4 linked regions of the Rhinolophus ferrumequinum genome follow. The protein of the gene in region 1 purifies or fractionates together with the protein of each later gene. This does not show direct contact. Links are inferred from orthologs where the notes say so. Each region holds a gene or a part of one and is shown in the gene's direction. Other genes may lie near its edges.

Evidence for each region. Proteins that work in one complex are often made in the same cells at the same time.
Region 2: the proteins of RBBP7 (region 1) and BCL11A purify together in Homo sapiens (affinity purification with mass spectrometry; 4 studies listed by BioGRID and IntAct, counting the BioPlex papers as one, with this or other methods). This does not show direct contact. The link is inferred for Rhinolophus ferrumequinum from reciprocal best matches to the Homo sapiens genes RBBP7 and BCL11A.
Region 3: the proteins of RBBP7 (region 1) and ASF1A purify together in Homo sapiens (affinity purification with mass spectrometry; 5 studies listed by BioGRID and IntAct, counting the BioPlex papers as one, with this or other methods). This does not show direct contact. The link is inferred for Rhinolophus ferrumequinum from reciprocal best matches to the Homo sapiens genes RBBP7 and ASF1A.
Region 4: the proteins of RBBP7 (region 1) and SAP30L purify together in Homo sapiens (affinity purification with mass spectrometry; 3 studies listed by BioGRID and IntAct, counting the BioPlex papers as one, with this or other methods). This does not show direct contact. The link is inferred for Rhinolophus ferrumequinum from reciprocal best matches to the Homo sapiens genes RBBP7 and SAP30L.

What each region holds. Positions count from the first base shown.
Region 1 is NC_046284.1:113,990,607-113,997,859, forward strand, and holds the start of RBBP7 (histone-binding protein RBBP7), read left to right. Parts: upstream 1-4,234; 5' UTR 4,235-4,438; coding exon 4,439-4,583; intron 4,584-4,866; coding exon 4,867-5,011; intron 5,012-7,253. UniProt on the Homo sapiens protein: Core histone-binding subunit that may target chromatin remodeling factors, histone acetyltransferases and histone deacetylases to their histone substrates in a manner that is regulated by nucleosomal DNA.
Region 2 is NC_046296.1:28,338,325-28,345,370, forward strand, and holds the start of BCL11A (B-cell lymphoma/leukemia 11A), read left to right. Parts: upstream 1-4,044; 5' UTR 4,045-4,155; intron 4,156-4,732; exon of another isoform or gene 4,733-5,038; 5' UTR 5,039-5,168; coding exon 5,169-5,223; intron 5,224-7,046. UniProt on the Homo sapiens protein: Transcription factor. Associated with the BAF SWI/SNF chromatin remodeling complex. Binds to the 5'-TGACCA-3' sequence motif in regulatory regions of target genes, including a distal promoter of the HBG1 hemoglobin subunit gamma-1 gene.
Region 3 is NC_046286.1:69,169,582-69,176,794, forward strand, and holds the start of ASF1A (histone chaperone ASF1A), read left to right. Parts: upstream 1-4,211; 5' UTR 4,212-4,596; coding exon 4,597-4,705; intron 4,706-7,213. UniProt on the Homo sapiens protein: Histone chaperone that facilitates histone deposition and histone exchange and removal during nucleosome assembly and disassembly.
Region 4 is NC_046307.1:25,425,619-25,433,545, forward strand, and holds the start of SAP30L (histone deacetylase complex subunit SAP30L), read left to right. Parts: upstream 1-4,925; 5' UTR 4,926-5,591; coding exon 5,592-5,789; intron 5,790-7,927.

The sequences.
Region 1 (7,253 bases):
GGTAAGTTGGCCTTTCAGAAATCCAGAGGGACACCCTACAAAGATTAAATATTAACACACTTAGAAGTACAAAACAATTACTTCACTTTACTTAAATATCACAATAGTAAATGAAAACAAAGTATAGGTTCAAACAAGTACAGTGAGTTTTTACTTTACAATAATTTTCCTTCAGCTCTCTCTCACACAACTGCATTAAACAATATTTTAAGAGAAATTACTTAGCATTCTATCACACTAAGACAACACTTTTCATTTGTCTGCATTACTCTTCTACCATTCGTTTATACATTTTTTCCTAAAATGTATGGGGGTTTTTCTGTTTATAAGAGTAATGCCTGTCCACTGGAGAAAATTTTTAAATAAAGCAACATATGAATAAAACAACCATCATCCACAATAATACCGGTAACCAAGAGACAATGGCTATTAATGTGTTTGTGTATTTTCTGCTGCTGCTAATGATTTGAATGAAAATGATTTGGCCAGAAACAAAATTGGTTTTCATTATGCTCCTCTTTTGCTTGTGTAATTTTCAGATTTTCTGTAATGAGCTTTGGTTTGCAATAAGAAAATCAAATGATAAAGGAATGTATAAAAGAGCAGGTGCTCTATATGTCTTGTTCATTCCAGGTATCTCCAGAACACCAGTTGGCACACAGTAGGTACTTCAAAAATATTTCTGAATGGCTAAGATTTTCTCCAAAAACTAGTGAGACAGGGATGCTAATGAACACAGAATCACTGGGCAGCCATGTTTGGGGATATTCCCTCTCTCATTCCTTTTGGTAAGCAGTTCATTCTAACACAATCACTTTTGCTGTCTTAATATAAGACCGATTGAATTCAAATTCCAACTCCAACACTCACTAGCTATGTGACCTTGGCAAGAAATTTCACCACTCTCTGCCTGAGCTTCCTCATCTAGTAAACACTGGCCCAGGTGCCGGGAATACAACAAAACAAAGATCCTGCCATCAATTTACATTCTCGTGTAGGAGGAAAGCCTATGAACAAACATGTGTCAGGTTATGATAAGTGCTATGAGAAAAAAACATAAAGGGGACAGAGAGTGATTACCTGTGGGGGCAAGATGAGGGAGTGCTACTATTTTATAAAGGGTGTTCAGGCAACTAGCTAGAGGTTTCAAAATTATCCTAGCGTCCTGTGTTTTTCAAACTCCAAGTTGTGACTAAGTGCGATCACAAAATTAATGTAAAGGGTAACTTGCATATTTAAAAAATGAAATAAAATACCAGCGTGCATCACACATATTAAAGGTCAGCACTGTTTGGTGTAACTTGTTTCAGTTTATATAAAAGTGTACTAGTCTGTAAAACACCATCAGCATGGAGAAATGATGGTTAACACTACAGCAACTTTGAGGTAAGCAGTCTTAGAGAAAGGTAGGTGCCTAAATAGGGCCTCTCTCAGTTAAGGTAGCCCACACCTTGTGCATGTACCTATTGGTGCCTTACTCGACGAGTAGACTAAGCTGAGTGCAAGTGAGACAAAAAGGCAACCACAGAGAAAGTGGGAGAAAAGAGGAGGACCAGAGCTAAGAAGTCGGGGTGAAAGGCAAAAAACAAAACTGAACAGTTAAAACAATTTAAAAGAGAAAACTGGTATTACATTTTTGATGCAAAAAAGGTACCTGACTGGAAAAAAGACCAAAAAAAATTTAGAGAAACAGAATTGATAGATTACACACACACACACACAGCTAATGCAATATGCTGTACATGATACTTTTGGATTAAGTATATGATAGTGCCTGCATATTTTCAGAAACTCCTAAGTATCTGCTTCATACTCCCTTCTCTGACCCTCAGTGAACTGAACAGTACAAAGATTTTAAAGCAACATCGTCTGGTAAAATTTTTCAACTCTTTAAACATTTCATAAGGTTTGGAAATCATGCTCACCCATCAGAAATAAGTAAAATATATTAAAGGGAGACTGGAAATCAAATCGTCTGCCAAGCCTTCTCTTGCTGTGCACGTGAGGAGGTACCCACTGAAGTACAGCTGTAAGACACAATTATTCCAGAACAAGGTGGGCAAACTACAGTCCTCCGACTAAATTGAACCCTCTGCCTGTTTTTGTATGGTCCATAAGCCAAAAATTTTTCCATTTTCAAGTGGTTGAAAAAATTCAAAAGAATATTTTGTGACACATGAAAACTACATAAAGTTCAAATTTCAGTGTCTATAAAGTTTTATTGGAATACAGCCAGGTTCACCCATGTTATCCAGGGCTGCTTTCTCGCTACAACGCGGCCGTTGAGTGGTTGCCCCCAAAGCCTGAAATACGATCTGGTTAGAGAAACGTTTGCCAACGAGTATCCTAAAACATGAGCATGGCTGTATTGTTTAAACACCCTCCCAACTGTCTTCCCTCTCCAGCGCCTCCCCTCCTCGGCTTTGGTCTTTTAAGATTCCTGGGCCTGACATGAAGGCATATCGTATAGGAAACCAAAGACACCCGACAGTAAATTTCTATATAAGGTAATATGAGTGGTTCTGCCACCGACTAGGTTTAACGTCTGGGTTTGTTTCCCGATCAGAAAAGTGGGCATCACAGCGGCAAATGCACGATTTCGTTTGAAAATCACCATGGTGACTTGCATGAAGGCACTTGGAAAATATCAAGGCAGCAAATGTTCCGCGAGATGCTTATGCAGGGAGAGCCTCTCTCGGAGTCTGGATATAGACTATTGTTCCCTTTGCACGTAGCACCACGACCACCTCCTCCTACCCCGTCCCCTCTGCCCCGGGCCCTTTTAGCCTTGCAGCCCGCTTTCTCCTCACCCCAACGCACTCCTCAGGGGCTACCAAGCTCCCAGGCAGAGGAGGGCTCAGGAAAGCCAGCCCAGGTTAGTTTCGCGCAGCTTTCCCCGGCCAGCTTCGGGTGGGTTTGCCCTGGGACACCCCGCAGGTGCTAAGAATGACTCAGCAGGGGCCCGGGGCTGGGAAGGAGACAATAACTCCAGTGCAGAGACAAAATCCTCTGAATACAAGAGAGGCTGCAAATCATCGTCTGAAGGACCCAAACGTGTGAACAAACGAAAATGTAATTCAAGTCAGCTTTGGGCCTTTGGCGGCCTGCCACAGGTTTAACCTAACAGGGAGGCCCGCCGTCTTCTGCACTCACAAAACGCCCGCGGCCTCTGCAAAAAGTCCCCTTTGCCTCCGACAAACCCCACCTAGGCTCGCCCAGGCCTCAGGAAAGGCCAGTCGGCAGGAGGGAAACCTTTCGGGGTGCACAGAATTGCATGCCCATGATTATCGGGGAGACTTTGAGGGCACAGTAATCTCTCGAGACTAGAAACCATTTTCTTCTCTCGCTCTGAGATTTTGCTTGGCTAAGCGGTGGCAGCCTCCCTGCCCCCCTTCCACCCCCACCGCCGCGGCCGCTGCAAGCAACCACGCCCCGCGGCCTCAGGGCTCGCCTCCTGGGCTCGCAGCCCCCGCGCAGCCTGCAAGCCTCGCCTCCAGTCGCCCCACCCCCGCGCGCCCCCATCCGCCCCCACGCCCGGCCCTGGGAGCGCAGGGCGAGTCCTCGCGCCTGCGCCTCGCCAACTTCCTGTGGCGGAACGCCCCGCCTACCCTCAGAAGCCCGCCTCCAAACGCCGCGTGAAACCTACCTATCAAACGTCATTGGTCGAGACGACGATGCCGTCTGCTCTCAACCCCGCCTCTCTACCGCCTCTTACTTTTCCCAGGACGGGTGCGCCTGCGCTCAGCTGCCTGGGCGGGCTGGGAGGCGCGGGTTGAAAAGTCTCGTTCCAAGTTTGGAGAGAGAGAGAGAGAGAAGAGCTCCTCAGTCCTCGGTACCCGTAAGCGGGGAGGAGGCGGGAGAGAAGGACTCGGCGTCTGGGGAGCACCCAGGCCGTGAGACAGAGCTCAGGCTTCGAGAACTAGAAGCGTGTGGCGCGCCTGGGAAAGGCAGGAGCGCCTGCAGTTGGGCTGCTCTTGGCAAGCGAGGGGAGTCCGAGGCGGCGGCGAGGGGCGAACAACCCGACGCAAGATGGCGAGTAAAGAGAGTAAGAGGCCCTGCGGGGCGGCGCGCGCCGGGGCCGCGGGGGGCGGCGGGCTCGCGAGGCCGCGGCACGCGCCGGCGAAAGGCGCGAATTGGCGTGCGGAGCAGGGGGCGGGGCCGGGCGCGAGGCTGGGCGAGCGCCTCCAGGGGCCTACGCGGGACGCGGCGCGGAGCGGAGGGCTCTGAGCACTTCCGGAGTCGGGCGCGGGGCCGCGGGTTGGGCCCCCTTCCCCCCTTTTGCCCCCCCCTCCGGCGGCGGCGCTCCCTCCGTCGCCCTCGGCCCCCGAGCGGAGGCGGCCTTCGCCGCCGGAAAGCGGGCACGGCGGCTCTTTCCACGCGCGCGTCGACGCCTCGGGGTCGCGGCCCTTGTCCGGGGAATTCTGGAACCCGCCGGTCTATGGCTGCCGAAGCCGGCTTTGTGGGAGCGGAGGCCTCTTGTGGGGGATGGAGGGAGCGGGTCGGTGGCTTTCTGCTACACGTGGATTCGTCTCCCTGGGTGGGTCGTGGAGCCCCTCTACGAACGGGTCGTCATCTTAGAACAGGTGCGAACGGCTGTAATCGGCAAAACAATTTCGACGTCCGTGTAATTACCCAGTTCTGTATACGCAGGCGATATTGATCTCAAAGTGCAAAAAATCAGCTTCCTGGTATTAATATTCTCTCCATGTTCTGGAAGAGCAGTTAGTTGTTCGAGTCCAAATTAGAGGTAAAGAGAAAGAGTAGATTAGGTGTGGCCTTCTCGAGGTGACCTCCAGTATCTGTGTACAGGTTTTGACTTCGATCCCTCTCAACCCTTTAATCGTATGGGCTTTCTCCAAATTTCAGTGTTTGAAGATACTGTGGAGGAGCGTGTCATCAATGAAGAATATAAAATCTGGAAGAAGAATACACCGTTTCTGTATGACCTGGTTATGACCCATGCTCTTCAGTGGCCAAGTCTTACCGTTCAGTGGCTTCCTGAAGTGACTAAGTAAGGGTTCCTGGCAACTTTTATTTTGCACAAATTTCACTGTTGGCCTGAATTTCCTACTTTTGGCATTTTCTATGTAGAACATAAGCATGTAATCAATTTAGCCCTTGGATGAGGTGGCAGGTGATTTTTTATTTTCAAAACTAACAAGCGGTTTATGGGATGATTTCTGATGTATAAGTGTGGCGTTGAAGTGGGAGAAAGAATCTGTTGTGAGATTAATGATATTTGCTGGAAGCACCAGATATATTTAACATTTCTTGGGCTTAAATATGAAACAGCATCTCTCTGGGCCCAGATGAATGGATTTCTTTCAAACTTTGTTGAAAAATAAATGTACAGAAGAGTGCACAAATCATAAGCATGTGGCTTGATGAATTTTTACAAAGTGAACACACCCATATAACCAGCCCCCAAGATGCATACGTTTTAATTAGCAAAGGGGAAAAGAATTTAGCAACAGTTCAAAAAAAAAAAAAGTGACATTACTGGCTTACAGTATGAAATACACTTTGAGGTTGCTGTTGGTCTTCATAAGCGTGTTTTGTTTTCAGCTATTTCTAAAATTTCTCTGGTAATAATTGCTGACATTTATTGAGCACTTAGAACAGGGCCTGGCACATCTACAGTTTTTTACCTTCTGTTGTTTGGTTTAGTATTGAGAATAAGTACTTTGATTACTTTTTATCATCCTTGTTTTACTGATGTTAAGTAACATGCCTAAGATCGCACAGATGGCAAATGGTGGAGAGGGGCTTTCAAATCTAAAAGGTAGCCCCAGAGTTCAGGTAGTCCCTGCACTAGACAACCTTCCTCATACATTTGGACTTTTTCTTGTAGGAACTTGACCGTGCACTTTAGAAGCGTATTAAACTTGGGTATTGTGTGCATATAATTTAATGAGGATTAATCAAACTCTAATCTAGAACGGGATTTTGCAACAAGTTACAAAAATAGAGTAAGTTAATTTTATATAAAATTACTCATAATGGCCAGATTCTCCATATATGAACATTGACTTCCATACAGTTAGGGGCTTCCTTTTAAGTTCCCAAAGAAATCTCAGGGTAAAAATATAGATGTGGGAAGAGTAGCCAAGAACTAAATAATGGAGACTTCTAAACGTTGACATTTAAAATAACTTTGAGCATCAGTTACTTAAGGGTACTCCTGTGCATTTGACTCTTTGAGTCTTCCTATTAAGCGGATTTACATTCTCTTAATTTACATTCTCTTGGAGCTTTTTGACTGACTATAACAATAGCAAAGAGTGAGGGCTTTAAGGTTAGAGACCTGAGCTTGAATCCTCCCCCTTTTTAGTAGCTTTGTGAATTTAGAGCGAGTTGGTCAGTCTCTATCCCTGACTTGTCTGGTCTGTTAATGGAGGTGCTGATTGTACTGACTGCTTACATTTGAGGGAATTACATAAGATCATGCATGTTAAAGTGCTGGTGCAGGGTAAGTACACAGCAGTGACTGGTGCTGACTCCTATTCAGAAATAATTTGTTAGAGAGGATGCAGTAACACTGTTTCTCCATTTGGATTTCAATGAAAGCTGCTTACTGAAGTCTTTAAAATGGTACCTATAATGTGTTTTGCATAAAGATTTTTTTAAAGATAATAGATCTGTATGTTTTCAGTCCAGGTATTGCTTTTATATGAACACTTAAGAACTTAGCAGAAAATACTGTAAGTAAATTATGTATTCCATGGTGTTCTTTGCATGCAAAGAAGTGGGATCTGGTTGTGGGACGTGCAGTGGCTCTGGGAATGCAAGAAAATGCCAGCCAGCCTGCATTCTTGGATGTTGAGGATTGCTGTGTGTGCTTTGCAGGGTTCTTTTTGGGGTATAAAGGGACTGTGATTGTGTTTTGTCACTATACAGAGCAGTAGAAATGTTGGCTGCTGTTACGGCTTGGGTCTTTGAGGAACTCGACCCTACTCAACCTCACAAGGCCTTCTGCCTACATACAACCTTCTTCTGAATGATTACTTGCACTTTCTGAGCTGTTGTCCTTAAATTGAGTTAGGTAATTGTCCACATAATTGATTTGGCTTTTTAAATTATTTAGGTGTTTCTTAAATTACTTTTCAAAACTGGTAGATCATTATTTTATATTACCTTATTAAATAATTTCTTAAATGTATTGAGACTAATTTAATCTCTACCTAAAAAGCTTTGCAGTCATTCAAATTCAGATGGTACGAAAGTGCATAGAGTGAAAAATAAATCCCCCTTCC
Region 2 (7,046 bases), on another chromosome or scaffold:
GGAAGTCTGGTGCCTTTGCAGAAGATGTGGACACTGCCCCTCCAGGGGCCTCCTCAGGTCCCAGGCTCTGGATCACACTGGAAGTAGAGGAATAAGACATGTTATGTGTGTGGAGGGGTGGAGGGCTGGGAGTGGGTGTTTAGGAGCTTAGGGAGTCTGAGGAAAGAGGGGACTGTGGCCTTCTGCTCACCTTTCAATTTAGAGGTGCCTACACAAAGCCCATCCCCTTCCTCTCACACAACCCTCTTCCCTTCTCTTTTTTAATTAATATTTCCTTTGTCCTAAACAAAATCCTAGTACTCCTACCCTCAAGAACCCCAATGCAAAACCTATGCCTAATGTAGAATCTATACCTAAGTTTTATTTTTATGAGATGACTGCCCTTTCTCTATCTTCTAAACTGTCCTCTAGGAAAAAAAAAAGTGAAAAAGCAAGGTGGGATCGATTGCATTTTTAAACCATCATTCATTCAGTCATTCATTTATTTATCTTTAAGTTCATAAAGGTGGTTTCCCCCTAAAGGCAGACAGTGAATATTTTACATTAATCTTGTAGTTTCCTTCTAGACGGACCTTTAACCCTTCATTCTCTGGCTCAGCCCAAGTCCCCCGCGCCAGGCGATCCTCTGTACGAGGGCTGGGACTGTATTAAGTCTCCCTCTTCGAGCTGTTTGTTGACCACATTCACGTTCAGAGCCCTGGAGCTAAAAGCACTTTTACACCATAAAATAAAAGCAACTGTCTTTTTTTTCTAAAAGGTTACGTCTGGAGGCCACGCGCTCATACTTCATACCGAAAACTACTGAAAGGACTATGAAATCCTCTATGATTTACACTCTCTCACTGCATTAGAGTATAGATCTACTAGACTCTAAAAATACGGTGAGTTTCTAACCGACGTGAATATATGTGCATTATTTCAGAAAGTCTGTTAGAAAACTTGTCAACACATTATAAAGCATAAACCAGGACTTGGCTATTAAGTACGGAGATCAGAGGCAGAATATATACTGCGAGGAAGTCCTGGGGAGTCTCTCCTCCGCGGGCAAGATAAAAAGGGGGCGGAGGGGAGGGGAGGGGTCCTCGGTTGGCCTGGAGTTTACACGCAATGTCGTCACCAAAGGTTTGGGAAAAAGCCCACGGAGCGTAATTGCCCCCTCAGTGGAACCAGCAAAGGTTCTACAGCTCCAAATGAAGTTAACTGAACGGCCAAAAAATAATTTTAACGTTGTCATAATTTATTACTTTCTAAAAGCCACTTTTGGAAAGGTAAATATACTTATTGTGTATTCACGTGTGCGCGTTTAACGTGACCTTTCACCCCTCTACAAAACCACCTGCATCATTAATCAATACTTATGTAATATTTTTAAAGCTCTTAAAACAACACATTTTTATTTCTTTAAGCACACATAAAAACCCTTCCCCTCCCCCACTTTTGGGGCGCTTTAGCGAGCATCTAACCCCAATGAGGGAGGGGGGCGTCACTCCTAGGGACTAGCCCAAGGAACCCGGAGTGGGGGTCCACGACCAGGAGGGACCAAATGCCTATACACAGCCCTGGTTTTCTGGACTGGGTGAAATCAGGCTGGGGGAGGGGCGGGAGCGGAGGGCATTTCCTATTTCACTCAGGGGCATTTTATGATGGTGAAATGAAATATATGTTAATGGTGGAAACGTTGCTGCTTACCTCTGCATTGGCACCCAGGGAAAGCAGCTGCAAAACTGGGTTTTTAATGTATGTTTTAAGATGTGGTTTCGGAAGGAACCCCCTGGAATCTGAAACAAGTGCAATAACATAGCAGACCTACTTGTAACTAAGTGCTTAATTTCCTATGATTTTTTTAAAAAAGAAAATCAATAAAATGTTGCCAGTTATTTATTGGAAATAACCACAGATAGCGGCCCTGATAGGGTGCCAGTTTTAGAGAGCACACAATTGTGTAATGAATTGTAATTCAGAAGACTGTTAAATGTGAACCACAGAACCTTTCAGAGGTAATAAGTCATTACTTTTACACTACAGCCAACCCTGAAAAGCTTTATACATACCATTATATATAAATCATACATATATATTTCCACAACACACATTCGCCCATTTATACACCTTCTTTGTGTATGGACATTTATGGATGGATGGGGAAAATATTTAAATTTGCAAAACTCGGTTCCGAAAGAATCTGACTCACTATTGTTACCTGAAGGGGTTTTATTTTTCAATTTGTTTTCAAAGGCCTCCCAGTTGTACTTTCTTCTTCCCTTTGCTCACCTTCCCTCCAACCATTCTCCTCCAAGTCCCGCTGCCCAGCCCCCTCCCCCAACTCCGCAAAGACATTTTTTGGTCGCTTTAAGGCTAGTTTAACAAGACAAAAAAATAGACAGTAGTGGAAGAAAGAAGCTGACCTGGTCTGAAGAACTCATGACAAGGGGGAAATGGTGTAACGCACAAACGCACAATCTACAGAGCTTTACTGAAAGTGAAATCTTCCTGCTTCTTAAACGGGATTTGAGTCTCCCTCCTCCCCCAAGCTGGAGGAAACAACAAACCACATTTACACTAACTCAGTCCAGCTTAACATCTTTCCTAATGTTGAGCATCAAAACCTCCTTTTCTTCCTTAGAGGGGCCCGAAGCTTCACCGAGCTAGGCAAGCCAGTCATTTTCTAATAGGTTTGAAACTTTACTAAGACAACACATGAATAAACAGCCGCTTGCCGGCGCGACTGGGAAGTGGGTGCGCGATTGCAAGGCGGGGGCCCTTGCTTAAAACAATAAAGCCCCTGCTGGGTGGGCGAATTTATGAAAAAGACGGCCCTTAGACTGAAGAGGGGGAAGAGAACCACGAGGGGTTGTGGAAATCCTTGGAGCACAGGGGAGACTGCTTGCTCTGCAGATACACACTCACACACGTCCACCTGCAGCTTGGAGTCTCGCGGGCTGCGGCCACCTGCCTCCACCCTGCAAGCTTGCGCCTCCCTTGGACTTGAGTCCCTTTTCCACCTCCCCCCTGCCCTTCCGGATTTGCAATCGCAGCGCGGTCTCCGCGGCGGCAGCGGCGGCTGAAGCTACAGGGTGGCGCAGGCAGGCAGGGAGGCTGGGAGGCGGGAGACGCCGGGGACTTTGCAGGCACGTTTCTGAATAAACTTTCCAATCGCAGGGGGTGCTGTTGCTGTACATTTCACGTAAAACTGAAAGTATCCCACGCCAGAGTGAAGCCCGCTTTTTGACAGCGGCAGTGTGTGTGTGTGTGTGTGTGTGTGTGTGTGTGTGTGTGTGCGCGCGCGCGCGTGCGCGCGCGCATTAAAGAGACAGGGGTTTATTTCCAACAGGTCTTCCCTAATTTCCCGAGAACGTCTGCAGAAAGGCCAGACCGGGGCTGCCGTTTCCCAGCGTGTGCGCCTTGGCCAGGAGCGCTTGAGGAGCACGGCGCTGACCCCCGGCGGTCACCCCACCACATGGCCTCCCCGTAGCTCCAGCGAGACAGCCGTTCTCTTTGCATTCCCCATTTTCTCTCCCCGGGTAACAGCACAGGAATAGTTGTGCTCTGCCCGTAAGAAACATTTCTTTCTATTCCTCAGTGCTTTTGCAGTTGCTCGGGAATGGGAGGGGGTGTGTCCATCCCTGGGACCCGGCTCGGGGACCTCGCTCAATGCCGGGAGCACGTTCCCAGGGATTGGAATTACCGGGACTGCCGGTGCTTTGTCCTCTGGCCTGCGGCCGCTCGGTGAAGTGGACGCCTCGGCGCCTCCCTAGCCCAGGGCCCCGGCTCTCCCCTCCGGGGACCAAAACGTGCCCCCAGTCTGGCTCCGGGTTCTTTATTCCTCAGCCTCTCTCCGCCACCCTAGGGAGATTCGACTCAGTGCTTCTAGTTGCATCCAGACCCAATCGCTTGTGGGGGCGCGTAGAACCACAGCCCTTCCACCCCCAGTTTGGCCTTGGGGGCGCTCTCCCAGCCCTCCGACCCAGGCCTGCACCACTCTCCTCGCCCTTGCCCCTCTCTCCAGGCAGCCAGGGCTCCGGGAAGCCCGGGGGCTGCCCTTTCGGACCCGCCACCCTCCAAACTTGGGCTGGACTCTGTTTCGCCGCGCGCTCCCTCCCGTCTCCCCTCGCCCGCTGCGAAGCTGTAACTTGGAGGCTCAACTCTCAACTTCGGGTGATTTTTCTTTACGATCCTCTCCTTGGGCAAAGTTTCCCGACCGCAGCCGCCGGCTCAGGGCTTTCACTTGGGCCCCGGCGTCCGCACGCGGGGAGAGAGCGCAGCGGCAGTGGTGAGGGGAAGTGGGTGTGCGCACGGAGGAGGGTGTCCGGGAGCAACTCTACCTGGCTTCCCTCCGCCCGCGCTTCCTCGGCCCGGGGCTGCAGTCTCCCCGTACACGCCAGCTTTTTAATAAAAAAAAAAAAAATCTTTCATTTTTGGGGTGCGTGTGCTCGAGGAGGAGGGAGCGCGTCTTGCTGCCCCCAACCCCTGACCCCCCCCCCCGTCGCCCCTTTCTTCTTCCCGGGCCACGCCGCCGCTTCGGCGTTGGCTGCGGCCACTCGTGAGCCCGCGGCCCCAGCTCCCCCTCCCCTCCGCCTGCCCCTCCCCCGGGGGCCGCGTCTGGCATCTGCGGAGCCCCCCGCCCCGCACCTCCCCCGCCCCGCACTGGCCATTGGCTTGTCCTGGTCTCTTTTTCATGTCCAGCCCCTGATGTGTGTCCATTGGTGTGAGCTTCCCCTTCCCTCCTCCCCTCTCTCCTGCTCGCCCTGCCCATGTTTTGTGTGTCTCTGTCCATCCAGACTCCTGACGTTCAAGTTCGCAGGGACGTCACGTCCGCACTTGAACTTGCAGCTCAGGGGGGCTTTTGCCATTTTTTTCATCTCTCTCTCTCTCTCTCTCTCTCTCTCTCCCCCTCTATCTCTCCTCTCTCTCTCTCTCTCTCTCTCTCTCTCTCTCTTTTTTTTTTTGCTTAAAAAAAAAAAGCCATGACGGCTCTCCCACAATTCATCTTCCCTGCGCCATCTTTGTATTATTTCTAATTTATTTTGGATGTCAAAAGGCACTGATGAAGATATTTTCTCTGGAGTCTCCTTCTTTCTAACCCGGCTCTCCCGATGTGAACCGAGCCGTCGTCCGCCCGCCGCCGCCGCCGCCGCCGCCGCAGCCGCCCGCCCGCCCCGCAGCCCACCATGTCTCGCCGCAAGCAAGGCAAACCCCAGCACTTAAGCAAACGGGAATTCTCGCGTAAGTAACCCAATAATAGTAATAATAATTATTAATAATCACGAGAGTGCGCAGGACAGAAGCAAGAGCGAGGGGGGGAGAGGGGTGTGTGCATGCATTTTAAAATTTTTTCACGAGAAAAACCTCCGAGAGTCGGGATAAAAGAGATTAAAGGGAGGGGGAAAAAAAGCAAACCTCATTCCATCTCGAATCATAGCCGTATGTACTTTTGGGACAGCACGCACCTTTTAATTTTACAAAAATTTGACTCCTCCTCTTTCCTGCTTTCCGCTGCTTTATTTCGCTGTTCGAAAAGGAATGCAATGATTTCCCCTCTAATTTTGCAAAATAATGAACAATGCTATGTATGGATGCGAACAACTCTCTTGCAAACCTAGGGGAGGGAACTGGAGGATAAAGGGGGGTTGCTTCCACTCATCGAAGGAAGGAAAACGGGGTGGGGGGGGTAAGAGAACCCAAGCCTAAAAAACAATTCCCAGTGAGAAAAGAGGTGAGACTGGCCCTCGGACATCAGCGCGCTCACGGTCAAGTGTGCACCGGGAGGAAAGTAGTCATCTCCACAATAGTGAGAAAGTGGGATTGTGGGATGGGGCCCCCGGCGCTCTGGAGTCTGCGGAGTGTGGAGAGGGGCCGCGGCGGCTCGGAGAGCCGGGCGACCGGCAAGGACGGGAGACGCGGCCGGCGCTGCCGCCTTTTGTTCCGGCCCGAGGTGGGTGTTTGTCCCGCTGCCTTTTGTGCCGGCTTCTAGCGCTTGCCCTCCCGCGCCGCCGCCGCCGAAGGGCAGGAGCAAGGGCCGGGGGTGAGCAAGAAAGGGAGGGTGGGCGCGGGTGCCGCCACCGCCCGGGTTGTGGCTGCCCGCCACTCCCGGGAGAACCTCAGTGGCGGATAGAAGACGCGCAAAATTAAATCAAATTAAATTAAAAACTAAATATAACAAGGCAAGAGAATGTAAAATTTCTTGCCCCAAAACAGAAGCCAAACGCTCCGCGGGCAGTTTCTGCAACGCGCTCCTCTTTGACTCCCCCCCCACCGCAAAAATCTCACACTCTTTAAATAGGGGGGGGGGGAAATACAATTACCCCCTTCCCCAAAACCTCTTTAGTTGCAAACTTAGAGCGCCGGCGGCACGGAGAGGGAGCGAGGAACTCCCTCCTCTTACTATTTTTTGGAAGATTTTCAAAAAAAGTGGAAGTGGATTTTGATTGGGAAAAATCTCGTGTCTGAATGTTTACAAGCACCGCGTGTGCGGGAGCCTCCTGCCAACAAACAGACAGAGGACCGAGCGCGGCGCGGCAGCCCGGGAACGGGTGGCTGCCGCGGCCGGGCCTCGCTGGGGCCTCGCCGGGCCTTGCCGCGCCCCCGCCCTTCCCGAGATTGCCCACCCGGCGCCCGGCGCCCGCCCGCCGGCACTGCTGGCAGGCCGCGCCGCAACTCTGCGCCAGCGGGGTCCACGGTTCTCTCGCCCCCAGCACAATACCCAAACCTTCTCTCGGCCAACCCGACTGCGAAATCCGCTGGGGAGAAACGCGGCTTTGCAAAACATTTTCATTTTGCGAAGCAACTGAAAAATCGAGTTTTGCGACCCCCCCCCCCCCCCGTCTCTTGTCCACAGCTCGGGACGGCGGGGAGGTCACCACGTGCTTTCCCTGCCCTCCTCCCACCCAGTCTGGTTACCAGCCCCTCGGCTCCGGGAGCACTGACACGCGGCGGCGCGGGGGGGGGGAAGGGTGTTGGGGGGTGGTCAGGAGAGTAATATATTCGAGTACGCGTTTTGGGAGTGCTGAATCTCGGGATTCCGTGCACCTCACCCTTGAGTTCTTTCC
Region 3 (7,213 bases), on another chromosome or scaffold:
GAGCCTAGGACAGTACTTTCACACAACAAATGCTCTCTCTATATACAATGAGTTATTATTAAGATCATTACTGTAGCATTTATTCCTTCTAGAAATGGTTATAAACTCTAGCAAATCTCGACACTGTACTTTTAAATATAAAATTTCAGTTAAAACTATCATTAAATTTTGACATCCTGTAACTAATAATAATAGGAAGCCCTTTAAGTTTAATTAAAGATATTACAACAATCCTTAAATAAAATTTTTGTAAAAAAGATTTGGCTTGTAACAATGCAAGTGTTTCTTTAAAGAGAATTCAACAGTGATGATGTAATTAACACAGGTGGACTCTAGGATTTGAACCAAGGCAAGAAGTTAGCACTTTCATTCCTGTAACTTCTGCAGCAGGCAGGGACTGAGACTTGATTTCTTAGCTCTACTACATTTTAACTCAGTGTATTTTAACTTAATCCAATTTAAATCTAGTACATTTTAATTCATTCTGCCATCTTGCTTTGTGTGTGATTTCAATTTAACTTCTAGTTTAAGACTCTCAGAAGCCCTCTGTAGAGGAGCTTGGGATCACAGAAGCAAGCCGCGTCTTGTCTCTTCAGAATTTAAGCTGCATGCCCAGCAGTAGCGGGGCCTACCTCATTCATGGAAGACCAGCTACAGCACACCACTCCACACCCTACTGGCATGGCTAAATGACCACCTCATTTCACACCACAGAAAGTACTTGATAACTGACCAATAATTGGATGAAATAAATTTAGGTTATAAGTAAGCCTAATTCTGAAGGGGAAAAAAAATTATAGCTGTATTAGTTTGCTAGGGCTACCGTAACAAAATATCACACTGGCGGCTTAAACAACAGAAATGCATTTTCTCAAAGTTCTAGAGGCTAGAAGTACAACTGTATTTCCCCGAAAATAAGACTGGGTCTTATATTAATTTTTGCTCCAAAAGACGCATTACGGCGTATTTTCAGGGGATGTCTTATTTTTTCATGTACAACAATCTACATTTATTCAAATACAGTCATGTCATCTTCTCCTGGAACATCGTCTTAACATACTAAATGCGGCCGACTGCCTGACAATCTTAACTGGGGCTTATTTTCAGGGAAACACGATCAAGGTATCAGCAGGGTTGGTTTCTTTTCAGGCCTAGCTCCTTGGCTTGCAAATGGCCGCCTTCCTGCTGTGTCCTCACATGGTCTTTCCTCTGCGCATGTGTACCCTTTATATGTTCAAATTTCCTCGATGTAGAAGGGTACCATTTACAGACTGGATTAGGGCCTCTATGGGACTAAATGTTAACTTTACCTCTTTAAAGGCCCTATCGCAAAATATAGTCACATTCTGAGGTACTGGGTGTTAATACTTCAAAATATGAATTTGGGAGGGGGATACAATTTGGCCTGTAACAAGAGCTAACAAAGTTCATTTATTTGTGTCCTAGGCACTAATTTAGGCTTTGTTCATCTTAAGAGACAAAACAACCTCTTCCAGCCATCCTTCCCTCAAGTAATCTGCACAGAAAGAAGCAATTTGGGTGTTACATTCAATGTAGCTCTCCACACATCATGTGGGCCCCCTTGGGTACTTAATACATGACAACATTCATAGTGACTTACCTGTTGCAAATATGGTTAGCTGTTTGAGAGTCACCAAAAAATTGTTCAGAAAGATTTTATAGATTGCCTCTGAAAGCAGAATGATGCTTTTACAATTCCCCCCCTACAACATGCCAGGTAATTTAGAAATATGCCAGGGCACATCTGGGAGTCTCTTTGGTCTTTCCTGTATTGCCAATGGTGAGAAAACTATTGGACAGAGAGCTCAAAAATTCTTTGACATTTGTTTTTTTAAAGATTTTATTGGGGAAGGGGAACAAGACTTTATTGGGGAACTGTGTACTTCCAGGACTTTTTTCCAAGTCAAGTTGTCCTTTCAATCTTAATTGTGGAGGGTGCCGTTCAGCTTCAAGTTGTTGTCCTTTCAGTCTTAGTTGTGGAGGGCGCAGCTCAGCTCCAGGTCCAGTTGCCATTTCTAGTTTCAGGGGGCACAGCCCACCATCCCTTGCGGGAGTCGAACCGGCAATCTTGTGGTTGAGAGGACGCGCTCCAACCAATTGAGCCATCCAGGAGTGAGCTCAGCTCAAGGGGCCATGTTCAATCTTAGTTGCAGGGGGCGCTGACCACCATCCCTCGCAGGAGTCGAGGAATTGAACTGGCAACCTTGTGGTTGAGAGCCCACTGGCCCATGTGGGAATCGAACTGGCAGCCTTCGGAGTTAGGAGCATGGAGCTCTAACCGCCTGAGCCACCGGGCCGGCCCCCAGTTCAACATTTTTGAAGAGCAGTAATAAAACAGCTAAGACAGGAGAGGCAATATGAGAGGACTGGGGCCAATTCCTGTGGCTTCCAGTCAACTATTAGGGAGGTTTTTCCTTCCACTTTCAATAGTGCTGTATATGACACGTTAAAAGATTTCAAAGAAAACAACCCATATCCTGTTAGATATTCTCAGTTCTTGATGTTGCATGTTCACCAAAAGCAAGTTTTATGGTAGATGTACCTTATTATCACACAACTATGGTCAGACTGCAAAATGCATTTTATTTTATATAAAATAATCAGAAAACTACACACACCATTCTTAAGGGAGTCATGTTTTAATTTTCAGTCATTTATCTTATATATTTAGTGCGCTGTATAGCATACAGCAATTTACAATTTATCATAGCGAGCGTTAGGACCCGAACTAATAAGAGTGAACACAGAATAGTTTATTAGTCATTGTAATCTGTGCCTCTCACCACAGTATGACTCATATGCTAATGCACACAAACAACTGGGCTTGAGGAAACCATTTCTAGTAGGTCCTATTTGACTGCATTGACGATAAAATGGGACCCACACTCTAAATAGTTCTCCTAAAGGTGGGAAGGCCTGGTATTAGCTGTCCCATATTAACTTTCAAGAGACTATCAGATGAAGAAGTCTCATCAAAAGCAACCTACTTAAGTATGAACAATGCCCAAACAATGACAACTCAAAATTCTGGGCACTATACTAAGAGAAAACTCTTCCAGCATAGGTGATACTTAAGAATTTTCTCTCTGAAATTAGCCAACTTAAGTGGTTTCAGTCACAACACTTAAGGAAAAAACGATGGTTTATGAAAAGCAGGTAATAACACAAACCTTTATGCCACTCTTACTTAGAGATTCAAACAGTTCAATCTCACAAATGTGTTAAAAGCTCTCCCTTTCTCCACAATGGTAGTCAAGCAGCATAAATGAATCGACATTGAATAAAGCAAAGGCTCCCAGAAGTTGTGTGAAGTGCTACAAATTCTTATTTACTAACAGTTTAGGTCATACATTTTTTGAAAATTACATGTCTTTGGTATGCCTTTGTGTTCTCTACTCTCCTTTTCCCTTCTCAGATTGTATTTGTTGCTCTTTGGTCGCCCGATACTTCCATTTTCTCCTTTTATGTTCCTGTTACTCACACCAAACGGCAGCAACCAGGGGTGTAACTGATCACATCTCTAGTATAATCTTTTTCTTATTCTAGGACTTTCCAGATAGGAAAGGAAGACCCAGTTGCAGCCCAAATACTATTTATTCCGATTTTCCAAGCAAAGTGTGTGCGCAAAAGCGTCTCTTCGCCTTTCATTTTGTTTCCATTTAACTAATACCGCTGTTGTGCCCAAACGCAGATACCGGGTTAAGAGCTAGCTTTCCAAAATGGCTTTGCTCCTTTCGAGATGGCATTGGTCTACAAAACGCAATTTATTTCCACTGCAACCAACCCTTCTCTCTACCCGAAATATTACCCAACACACAGACAGCTGAACCTAGTGTAGACAACCGAATCACATCTGCTAAATTCAGTAGAGAGCCGGTATAGCCGTTGGACTATTGTAAAAAGAGTGAAAAACACACAAAAAAAACCCCGAGGGGCGGGCGTCACACAAGATCCCGTCCCCCCGCCGCCGTTGCAGCCGCGAGCACGCCTCCCCTCCATGGCCACGCCCCTCGCCGCCACGGCCGTGCCCACGCCCATCGCCAACCCCCGCCCCGCCGCGGCCACGCCCGACGTGAGGCGCGGGAGCCGCCGGGCCGGGGGCGGGGCCTGCACCCTCCCCCCAACCCCCCTCACCCCCCCCGCCGGCGGCGGCCTCCGCGCGGGCCTCCCAACCCATATTCCACTCACTTTGTTCTCTGCCTTTGTCCTAATCCACACCAGCAGGTGGAGCCGCAGTTAAAGTTTCCGAGTCCATTCAGGGAGCGGGAGCCCATCTTGCTCGCCGCCAAGGCCCTCGGTGGAGGAGGAGGGTCAGAGCTCGGGTGCAGCCAATCGCGAGCAACGCTGCTAGTTATCAGAGCAGAATGGGCTGTAGTTTAGTGAAATAGGAAAGCTGCAAAACACTGTGGAGTGTTCCCGTGTAAATAAAAAGAGGAAAAAAAAGTTTCTCAAGTCGCCGCTGCACTACGTCGGGCCGGCGCCGCGGCGGGGGTCTGCGCTCTCCCGGGCGGCCGCGCGCTGGACTTGATTGTGCCGCAACAAGCCCCCGTTCCCATTGTTTGTTTTTTTCAAAATATGGCAAAGGTTCAGGTGAACAATGTAGTGGTGCTGGATAACCCTTCTCCTTTCTACAACCCATTCCAGTTCGAGATCACCTTCGAGTGCATCGAGGACCTGTCTGAAGGTGAGTCGGGCGCCCGCCCGTCGCCGGGCTGTCAGTTGCGGGCTGCAGACGTTGAAAGTTTCCCGGGCCCGGCCTCGCGCGGGCGGCCGGTGCTCGGCGCCGGGCGGGCTGCGGGCTCCGGGCTTGGCTCTGCGGAGGGAAACTTGAAGTTGATGGACGACGGCACCGAGGCGCGCGAGGCGTTCAGCCGCAGCCCGGGCGCCTGCCGCGGCTCAACTTGCTAGGAACTTGTTCCAGCAGAGGTAGCCATGTTGTCAGCTTTGTCTGGTGGACCGGCGGCTCGCGAGACCCGCACTCCCGCCGGCGGAGCCGACCGGGGGTCGCGGCGGGCTGGCCCCGCGCCGCGAACGGCCTCCACGGTCCCCGCGGGAAGGCTGGGAAGGGGTAAGCATGTGTGTGGTCGCGCCGGCGAGTTAGCAGCGGAGCCATCTTACCCAGAGTAAAGAAGTGGGCCACCGACCCCGGCGTCACGACGCCTCCTCTCCGCGGGTGACGAACACGGCGCCCCGCCTGCCCACCTTCCGGCCCCCGAGTGGAAAGGCAAATCCATCTTTAGGGCTTACGCTGGAGTCCCCGCACTCTCTTGGGTGGCCATTCCCGGCCGCTTTGGGGAGGAGAGCGAGGCTGTCTTCGCGCTGATTTCTGGCTCCCTCGACCAACCAGTAGGGGAGGCGGGCGCAGGCTCGGCGCCGCGGGCCGGGCGCCGGCGCTCCCCGGGGGCCGTGGGTGCTCCCTGGCCGGCGCCCGGGATGCCCGGAGCGCCCGGGATGCTCGCGCGCAGGCTCGCCTCGAACAACGTGGACTCCTTTCCTTTAATGACTGAAATCTTCTCTCTCTCTCAGGAACAAAAATACTGTTAAGCTAGAAAGTTACATTTAACCCAAGAGTAGAAATAAGGAAAATACTTAATTACCAGGACTTAATTACTGGCTTCTAAATCTGAAAGAACACTTTCTTCACGAACGTATTGAAATCTAATTAAAATAACTCCACATCCAAACATCCTGAACATAAAACACAAAAGTGGGCTAGGAGATAAAAGGTAAAGTCCTAATGGCAATGCAAAAAATTTTACTATTTTTTCTAAGTATGTTTTAAGGTCTTAAAGAAGATAGTTTTAATATGTGCAGTAATAAATATTTAGAAAAGTAAAATTTGCCAAGGTCTAATCTTTGCGATTTTATTAAAAATAATCCAGTGCTTCATTTTGGAAATTTGAGGGGGAAAACGTTTAACTTCAGTGGTAATTTTACAACTAAATAGAGGACATAACTTCTTTGAACTTAGAAATCTATTTAGCAAAGTTCATTTTAAATTATTGTGCTAATTAAGTCATGTAAGGCATTTCACTATGAAAATTAGTTTTTAATCTGTAAGAAGTATCTTACGTAGGGTGTTAATTTTTTAAATTATAAAAATACGCGCTCATTGAAATAAACTTTTAAAAAGTTGTACACACATATATAAAGTAACAGTCCTCTGTACTCAGTGCCTTCCCCATCTCACTCCTGTATAAGTAACCATAATTAACACTTTAATCTGTGCTCCTCTATAAAGTTTAAATGCGCATATGAAGCACATAGCACATATACTGGGGTGCCAAAAAAATGTATACAATGACTCTGGTCAATATTGCTCAAGCAGTAGTTCCGGTAATCAGAAGTGTCTGGATGCTGATGGTAACCACGTTGAGCACCTCGTAATTGCTGAAGTCCAACGTGACTTGTGTTCACCTTTTGTTATGGGTATACATTATTACAATTTTAATAGTTTTTTTCCTTTCTTAAAATGTGGATACATTTTTTTTGGCACCCTCTGTATATATACCTTGTAGTGCACATTTTGGAAGATGATTCACTTGTTAAAATAATTTCTAAATAGGCCATTGATAATAAAAATTAAAGGGGATTTTTCTTGTTACTCTGAAACCATTTGGTTCCTTTCTACTAGTATTACTATAAACATTTCAGCTACCAGGACCATTTTTTTATACCCAAGTCTGTAATTTTTCCATTTTATTGTCAATTGGATATAAAAATGGGTAAATACAAGAAAAATTATTGATCAATCCATTCCAACACTACAGTGTTTTAGGCATTAGAAGGTCTTCAAATTTCAGGTATTTCTCAAGTGATGCTTTCCATGATAGGAGCCAATTCTGAAGGATGTTACAGGGCTTTGACATTGGATGGTTGAAACCTGCCATTCATAGAAGCAGCACTATGTTCCATTTTTAACTGGAATCAATTCATAACCCAGCTGAATCACCTCAGAATTTTTACAATAACGAATGTCAAGAAAACACTTACTTCCAATTGTATACTTCACTTCCCAGGGCACCTAGACTGGGCAATTATTTAGTATTTTTTTAGAGTTTAAGCTGAGTCATACCAAAGCTGCAAAGGAATCTTTCAAAAAGGTGCCATGTTTGTGTACTCCACCTAGAGGCTGTGTGAATTAAGGAAATTGAGTTAGCAAAGGCTTCTTAGAGGTTCCATACTTTTACAC
Region 4 (7,927 bases), on another chromosome or scaffold:
AGATGCAATAAAATAATCAAGCACCTTCCCAATCTTGGCTGTGCAGATGGATGTGGAGACTGCCTGTGTGGAAACTGAACAACTGGCAGATAAACAGGACCATCCTGCCATATTGCGATAGGATGTCTTCTTCCCTAACATGCAGAAATCTAAACAGTGGGAAGTTTAGGGTGTCAGCGTATAATGGATGAAATAACTACCACTTAGTGAGCACTTACTTTGTGCAAGACAACTGTGCTAAGTACTTTACATGATCACATTGGATACTCATCAGAGGCCTATAAGAGAAGTACTATTGTCCCATTTTACAGATGAAGAAAACTGAGGTTCATACAGTTAAGAAAGCTGTGAATGATCCTATAGCTAGTAAAGTGGCAGAGCTGGGATTCAAACCAAGTGCTTGAGTCCAGAGCCTTTGCTCTTATCCACAGTGCTAATAGCTACAATGCCTGTTAAGTGCCAGGCTGCAGACTAGGGTCAGAGCCAGAGGAAGCTCTCACGGGTCCTCAGTGGAAGGAGGAAAATAAAGACAATGTTGTAGGCTTTTCGTAAAGCTAAATTTATTCCACTTAAATGACTGTCCTTTATTCCTAGATTCTTCCTACATTTTTGGCATTCCACATTTCCTGCTTATTATTATAAGAGAAAATACAGGCATATAGTAAAATATCCAAACAGGAAACAAGGTCATAAAATTCAAATTCTCACTACCTTCCCTCCTTTGACATGCAGACCCCTCCATAAAAGCAACCACAAGTACTAGTTTCTCATGTGTCCCCAGTAGGTGTGTACAAAATTTGTAAGAAATGCAAGTGGAATTTACACTCCACATACTGCCTTGTATCTTTTTTTAACATAATCTTGATATAGTTGGGTATATTTAAATTAATTACTGAAAAAATGTTTAGAGTGCCTACTTGGTTAGCCACCAGAATCGGAGAACTAGTGTTGTATGCACTGGAGCTATAGCAGCACACAGGACAGACGTGGTCCCTGCCTTATTGGAGTTTACATTGTCATGGGAGAGACAGCCACGCAACAAAAATAATAATGAAATAGGCATATTACGATGAATGCTAATTTTAAAAAAAAAGACACTGAATAGAGAATAATGAGGGGCAGGGGTCGCGGAGATTGTCTGGGGGAGGTGACACTTATATTAAGACGTGAAGGATGGAGCTAGCCATAGGAGGAACAGGCCGACCGGCATTCCAGGCAGGGGGAGCTGCAAGTGCAAAGACCTCGAGGCAGGAAGAAGCTTGGCTTATGTGAAGAACTTAAGGAAGGATGACAGAGGCAGAGAGATGTTAGAATACACGGGGAAGCTGGCGAGGGGCCTTAAGGGGGGTGTGGCACGGTCTGGTTTGTGTAGATACTCCCTAGGGACCAGCTCAGAGGCCAATGAAGCATTTCAGGCAAAGGACAATGATGGCCTGGGCTGGGCTGCTGGCTGCAGGAAATGAGACAGACGGACAGATTCTGAATATCTAATGGAAGGGAAGTGCTTCAATGAGTTGACTTGGAGTATGGTGAGCGGAAGGGAGACGTAAAGGTGATACATGTTGCAGTTTATGGATTCAGGTGTCAGAGAAGGTTTTAACTTGTTCATGTTGGTCAGCAGTCCCTCAAGAGCATTCCAAGCAAAGAACTACATGTTGCTATCTGGAGCTCAGAGGAGAGGTCTCCCTTAGACTATACAGTTAGGAGTTATAGACCTGCAACTTTAAACATCTGGGGGTAGGTTAGGGGATAGAAAAGAATGTTACAGTTGCTGACTCAAGATGCCCATTTTAAAACCTAGCTTTTCTTTAAGGCTTTAAATTCAACTTATAAATCTTATTATTCCATTATAAATCTAGTAATTTTTCATATAAAAATAAGAATAATCACTTGTTCTTTGATGACTGTTGAATTAATTCTGAAGTTAGTAGATTTGATCCTCCTTAAACATTTGAGATTTACAGCATTAATTAATCAAATTTCCTTCAACATTTCAGACTACAGTTATAAATTTAATGTACCTGATTTTCTCAAACACTTTAAATGCCTAACAGGGCAGACTTACAAATCTAAAAAGCAAGATCGCTCTAAACATTTAAGCCAGTGTTGTAAATTAATTACCTAGACTTCTAAATGTAGCAAATCAAATTCTCTTGGCTATTTCAAGAATCTTGAATCCAACACAAAGCAGAACAAGGGTCACAGAAGCTTCTCTCCTGTATTCATTTCTTCATTATCTGAATGTTTGTTTCCTTTCTGGAGTTATAGGCTTATTCCCCCAGCAAAGGGATCAGAATTTTTTCCAAATATTGTTGTTTGGAACGAATCTACATAATAACCCGGGGAAAGCTTATGATAAAGCATTCCTTGAAGTCTACAAAATTGTCCATAAAGCATAGATTAAAAGCATGCGTCCCTGCTCCCCAAAAAAATATATAGATGCTGGGGGTATCAGTCTGGTACCAATGAAAAGATAGAAACCACACAATAATTTGAACAGGGAAAGATTAATATAAAGATGTATTAACCATAACGGGACTGTAGTAACAAGGTATTGCCTAGTGAGAAGAGAACTCTAAAGAATACAGGCATAGCAAATGGATGGAGCAGCCAGTACCCCCGGGGCTAAGACATAGTTCCTGAGGAACAGGCCTCCTGCCCCCACCCCACCCTGTCTGCCCCAGGAGTGGTACCAGGGGAAGCTGGTACTAAAGAAGCTGTGTGTAGTGCAATAGCCTGATGCTGGACGCAAATGCTGTTTGAAAAAAATAAGTACAAAATTTATGTGGGAAATGTAGAGCTCTTATCCTTGCCATTAAACTTTGGAACCAACATCCCACACTGCCTTGTACAGATGCCCAGCTGTTTTCTGTGTATATGTCTCAGCTTCCCTGCTAGAAGATATTCTCTTTTAAGGCAAGGATTATGTTTCATCCTCCTCCTGTGACCAATCCTGAAATGAGTACACACAGTATGCTCAATAATTTACTTTTGAATATATGAACTCTGAGGAAGGAATGCTATTAAACTGTGCCTTTTTTCCATTAATTTTTATTCTATTTTTTCCTACTTAAAAGCAATAAATATTGGAGAAAATGCAAAGGTAGAACAAAAGAAGAAAAATATCAACCATATTTCTACTCCCCAGAAATAACTACTATTATGTATTTCTTATGTACAAATAGTACATAAGAACTTTGATGTATTTCTTATGTACAAATAGTTTTTCTTTTTTCTTATTTTTTAAAACATAGATGTACATACATCATATCTCATATGTAATTTTATACCCTGCATTTTTAATTTAGCATAAATAAAGCATTTCTCCAACTCATCAACTCTTTGTTGAAGAGTCAGTGCTGGATTATTATATATAGAAAATGTTTATATTGATGTTGAAACTACTTTAAAAGTTGAAAACATCACAAGTGACTGCAAAATATCTCATTCTGAAGATGTTAGTTTATTTAACCACTTCCCTTGTGGATGTTTTAGGTTATTTTTCTATTATAAATAATCCCATAATGAACATTACGTTCAAAACTTTTTCTAGTAGGTCAGTTTCCTAAAATGGCTGTCCCACATGTGAAATTAGTAGGCTAGAGGGTGCAAGTACGTTTAAAGCCACTGAGGAAAATTTAAGATCACAGAACATCTGCTTCTAACCATGGAAACAGGTAGCTTGCCCTTTTCCAACAGCACACAAACCAGAAATCTCTCTTGAATGCCACGTAGTCCTACCAAAATTGGTACCTGTGCTCACCTAACACTCCCTGACCCGTCCATGCCCCTCACCTTAAGAAAAATGCTACCCAGCCCTAAATGATTGCATGACCTCATGACCCTGGGCTGGTCCCTTGGGGGTCTTTGGCTCTCATTTGTCCCCAAGCTGCCCAGTGGAGAGGTGCCCTGAATAAGTGTGCTAGACCAGAGGATTTCTCTGTCAGACTTTCTGAGTGTGTGTGACGTCCTAGGCATTGAACCCCAAGCTCAGGGGCTTGGCAGGGCAAGGTCACCTCGCGGGTGGACCAGGAGGCTTAAAGCAACAGAAGCTACAGCTTAACAGCGCACCAGAGTTCCAGGGAGGGCCCAACACACCGCAAGCTCTTCCAGTGTCTGCAAACCGAGATTGGCCCTTGGTCCTCCACCCCCCAGCCTTTTTTCCCTCTCCTCCGCAGCACCTCTTCCGTCCCCGCGGTTCACCTACGGTAGTTCACCCTTCAGACCTTATTCCGACGTCTGCTTCTTCTCAGCGGAGGGGTCACCCAAGTCCCTGGGGGTCTCCTTCCCTCCCTTCTCTTTCCGCAGGGTCCAAGTCAGTCCCAGTCTCCAGACTGGGGTCTCCGCCACCCTCAAGCATCCCACTACCTTGCAAAACTCGCCATCAAACTCCCATCATCTCCTCTCTACATCTTTCCATATATATACATGGGGTTGTTCTCTGTCTTTCCCGCCATGACTGGCTTTCTGTCCTGTTTCACCTACCCTGCCTCCCACGTCTGCAGGTCCTTTGGTCCTTGTCCTTCCGTTTTAACTGGTCTGTCTCTCTCACGACAGTACCTCTATCCCCTTTAGCCAACCCCCCCAAATATGTCCCTCTCCATGTCAGTCGTTCTGCGCCCCCGCCCATGTCTGTACTTCTGTCTGTCCCGAATATGATCCTCTGTTCCCGGAGTCTGGCCTTCCTTCCAGCCAGGCCCCGGGTCACCATCTCTCCCCGGGCAGGGAGAGTGCAGCCCGGTTCCCCTCCTTCAACCTGGGAACTCTTCCTTCTTCCACTTTCTCTACTTTGAACCCATCCCAGCAGAGTCCAGGAAGTAGCCAGGCGCCGGGGAATGGCGGCAATGGGGCCCAATGGGGAACGCCAGCGGCGGCGGCGACCCCGCCCAGAGAGCAAATGCGGCCAATAGGTGCACGGAGGCGGGACTTCCGCTGTCCCGCGGAGGGCGGGGGCAGCGAACTGTTGTGGTGCGGAGCATTGGGCGGGCGGCGGCCGGGCGGCCCAGGGGCTGCCGCGGGACTCCTGGCGCAGCCGAGGGGCTGCAGGGGTGGGGCGGGCCGGACACTCCGCGGGGCCCGGGCGCCGCGGGTTCGAGGCCGGGCCCCGCGCGGGGAGGCCGCGCCACCCCGAGGGAGCTGCCCGGCGGCGAGTTTGTCCAGCAGCCGAAAGAAGGCGGGAGCCAGCGGGGGCCCTCGAAACCCGCTGGCAACCCCGGCCTGAAGTCCCCGGGGAGCCGCCGCTTCCAGGGACGCCCTCCCGGACGCCCCTGCCGAAGGGTAACGGTTCTGGGCCCCCGGCAGAAGGCGCCTCCGGGTGACCCCCGGCGGGGCCCTGCGAGCCGCTGGAGTCAACCCCGGGGCCTCGAGCGGGGAGGAAGGGGCTTTCCAGAGACGCGGGCCGGAGCCAAAGGAGCCGGAGCGTGGCGGAGCGGAGCGGGCCCTCCGGGGCGCGGGGCAGTGCAGTGCCTTGTCTGGAGACGGACTCTGGGACCCTCGGGTCCGGGGGTCTCAGCGACCTGCCCCGCGGGGAGTACGGCCGCGGAGTGGCCTACAGGTGACCTCTTCCCGAGGGGCTGGCCCGGGGCGGGGAGATGAACGGCTTTAGCACCGAGGAGGACAGCCGCGAAGGGCCCCCTGCCGCCCCGGCCGCTGCCCCGGGCTACGGCCAGAGCTGCTGCCTCATCGAGGACGGCGAGCGCTGCGTCCGGCCCGCGGGCAACGCCTCCTTCAGCAAGAGGGTCCAGAAGAGCATCTCACAGAAGAAACTCAAGCTGGACATCGACAAGAGCGTGAGTGTCCCCACCCCCCCTCGGCCCCCACTGGGCTGCCTGCGGCTGCCCTCGGACTACCCGCGGGACTCCGGGGCCCTCCCCGCCCTGGGCCTCGCCACCCTTTATCTGCTAACTGAGTAGTTGGACTCGGGGTTTCTAAGGCCGCTTCAGCGCTGACGTGCTCTCCCCAGGATTCTGCCCAAATCCGGGAGGTTTGGGCAGGGGACTCCGAGGATCCTTCCTGCCTAGGAAGATTGACAACAGTTTTTAGCTCGTTTTATTGGTTTAGATATTGAAGCAGGGAGAGGGGGTTCCTTGTGTTGGCCTACGAAGAAGCAAGTATTGGGGAGGGGTGGTGAAGGGACCCGACACTTCTCCAACTTCTCCTCCACGGAACCCTGTTATTCCTTCAGAAAAGGAAAGGTGGCAGTTACTTCCCTGGCTGCCCGCGGCCTCGGCTTCTGCAGACGATCCCGGAGCTCTCTGCTTCGCAGGCAGCTGTGAGGAAATGGGATTTTCAAGGATGTGGCAGAAATCAGGCCAAGACCAGGTCTTGGGAGGTGGTTCTTGCAGTCGAAGACACTAGAAGGAAGAAAATCAAGGGGTAGCTTCCGTAGAAATGCGTGGGAGTTGGGGGGGGGGGGTTAATTTGAATAGACTTGCCCTGTGTTTTGTGCCTACCTATAGGAAAACTTTTCCTGTGTGATTTCACCTCTTCTAGTTAACAATTCTAAAGATGAACCTATTGTCAACCAATTGAGAACTTTTTAGTTTTGACATCTGTTGCTGCACGCTTTAGGTGCCTGCCTCACAATTAGGAACTGGAAATGAATTAAGGGGGTGTTTAATATTCAGATAGACCAGCTAGGAGCTTAGGTGGTTCACATCCATTCTCTCTCAGAAAATCTCTCCACTGGTGGGGGGAAATCAGAGATTGATTGTTAAACTGAAAGGAGTCCCACTTTTCCACTTGCCGAGTTTACAGTTGAAACTGAAGCCCAGATAGGGAGTGACAGTGCCAAAGTCACACAACACCTAAACGTCTGGTTAATTTCTTAAACCCATTATCTAATTTCCAAGCCCCATACATAAACTTTATTAAGTCTTTAATAAATACAAAATCTTTCTTGCCCTTTCTTCCAGGCTCTTCCCTCCCACCCCCAATTTTTTTTTAAGTTCATTATAATACATTTGCAACTCTTAAAAGATGCTATTTTTAAGTAGTTGGGGGCTCTCTTACTACAACTCTCGTATCAATGAATGAATGGATGGAATTTATCTGAAAGTAAACTGGCTAGACACTGAGGTGGTCCAGATGGGACATATGTTGAAGTGAAATGCTTCATTGTAAGACAGCAGTGAATTCATCTTCTTCAAAACATTGCCTACCTTCTGTGTAGGTTGTTGGGAGCCTTTCCTTGAGCAGCTTACAATAATAATATTATTCAGTCCTTAAAAAAAAAAGAAGTGTCCAGTTCTTTTAAACCGTTGGATGTCATCACATCTGAACGACTGCGCTGCTGCAATTGGGGCTCCATTTCCCTAGTGACCCCACTGGAAAACCTGTGTTGAGCTGTGTTGATTGTTTCCCACACACTGTGTAGAAGAGAGACAGCCTAAGCCTGGCACTAGCGTTCCCCAAAGGTAATGCTTCTGAAGGAGTAGGGTTTCGAGGTGGAATCACTCACAATTTGTTTCAAGGTGGTGGTGTAGAGCCATTTTTTCTGAGAGGGATTCTATTTCATTCTCACAGGCTTGGGCAGGAATTCAATTCTAAGTAAATGCTGTGTTACAAGAATTTTTAGCTGTTGTAGAAAAATGAAACAGGAAAAATAAACACTAGCGCCTTTGCTACCACCCTCCTTCCTCCTCCCCTCCCAAAGGCCACTGAGCTCTGAAATGTCTGAAAACCAGCATGTACTTGAAAATAGTTAGGTAGAAATGACTGTTTATCTCATAAGAGGGTCTAGCAGAGAACCTTTTTAAGTAATAGCACCAAAAATCCAACTGAGGCAGTTTACCTCATATTGTGTAGACATTGGCAGTGTTCTGGGATTTATTAAGATAACACGTCCCTCCAATGGAACATATTTTAGCTTTTTTCTGGAGAAAAGTGTAAGTTGAGAATAGAAGACAAATGTCGAGGGAGGAAAGGA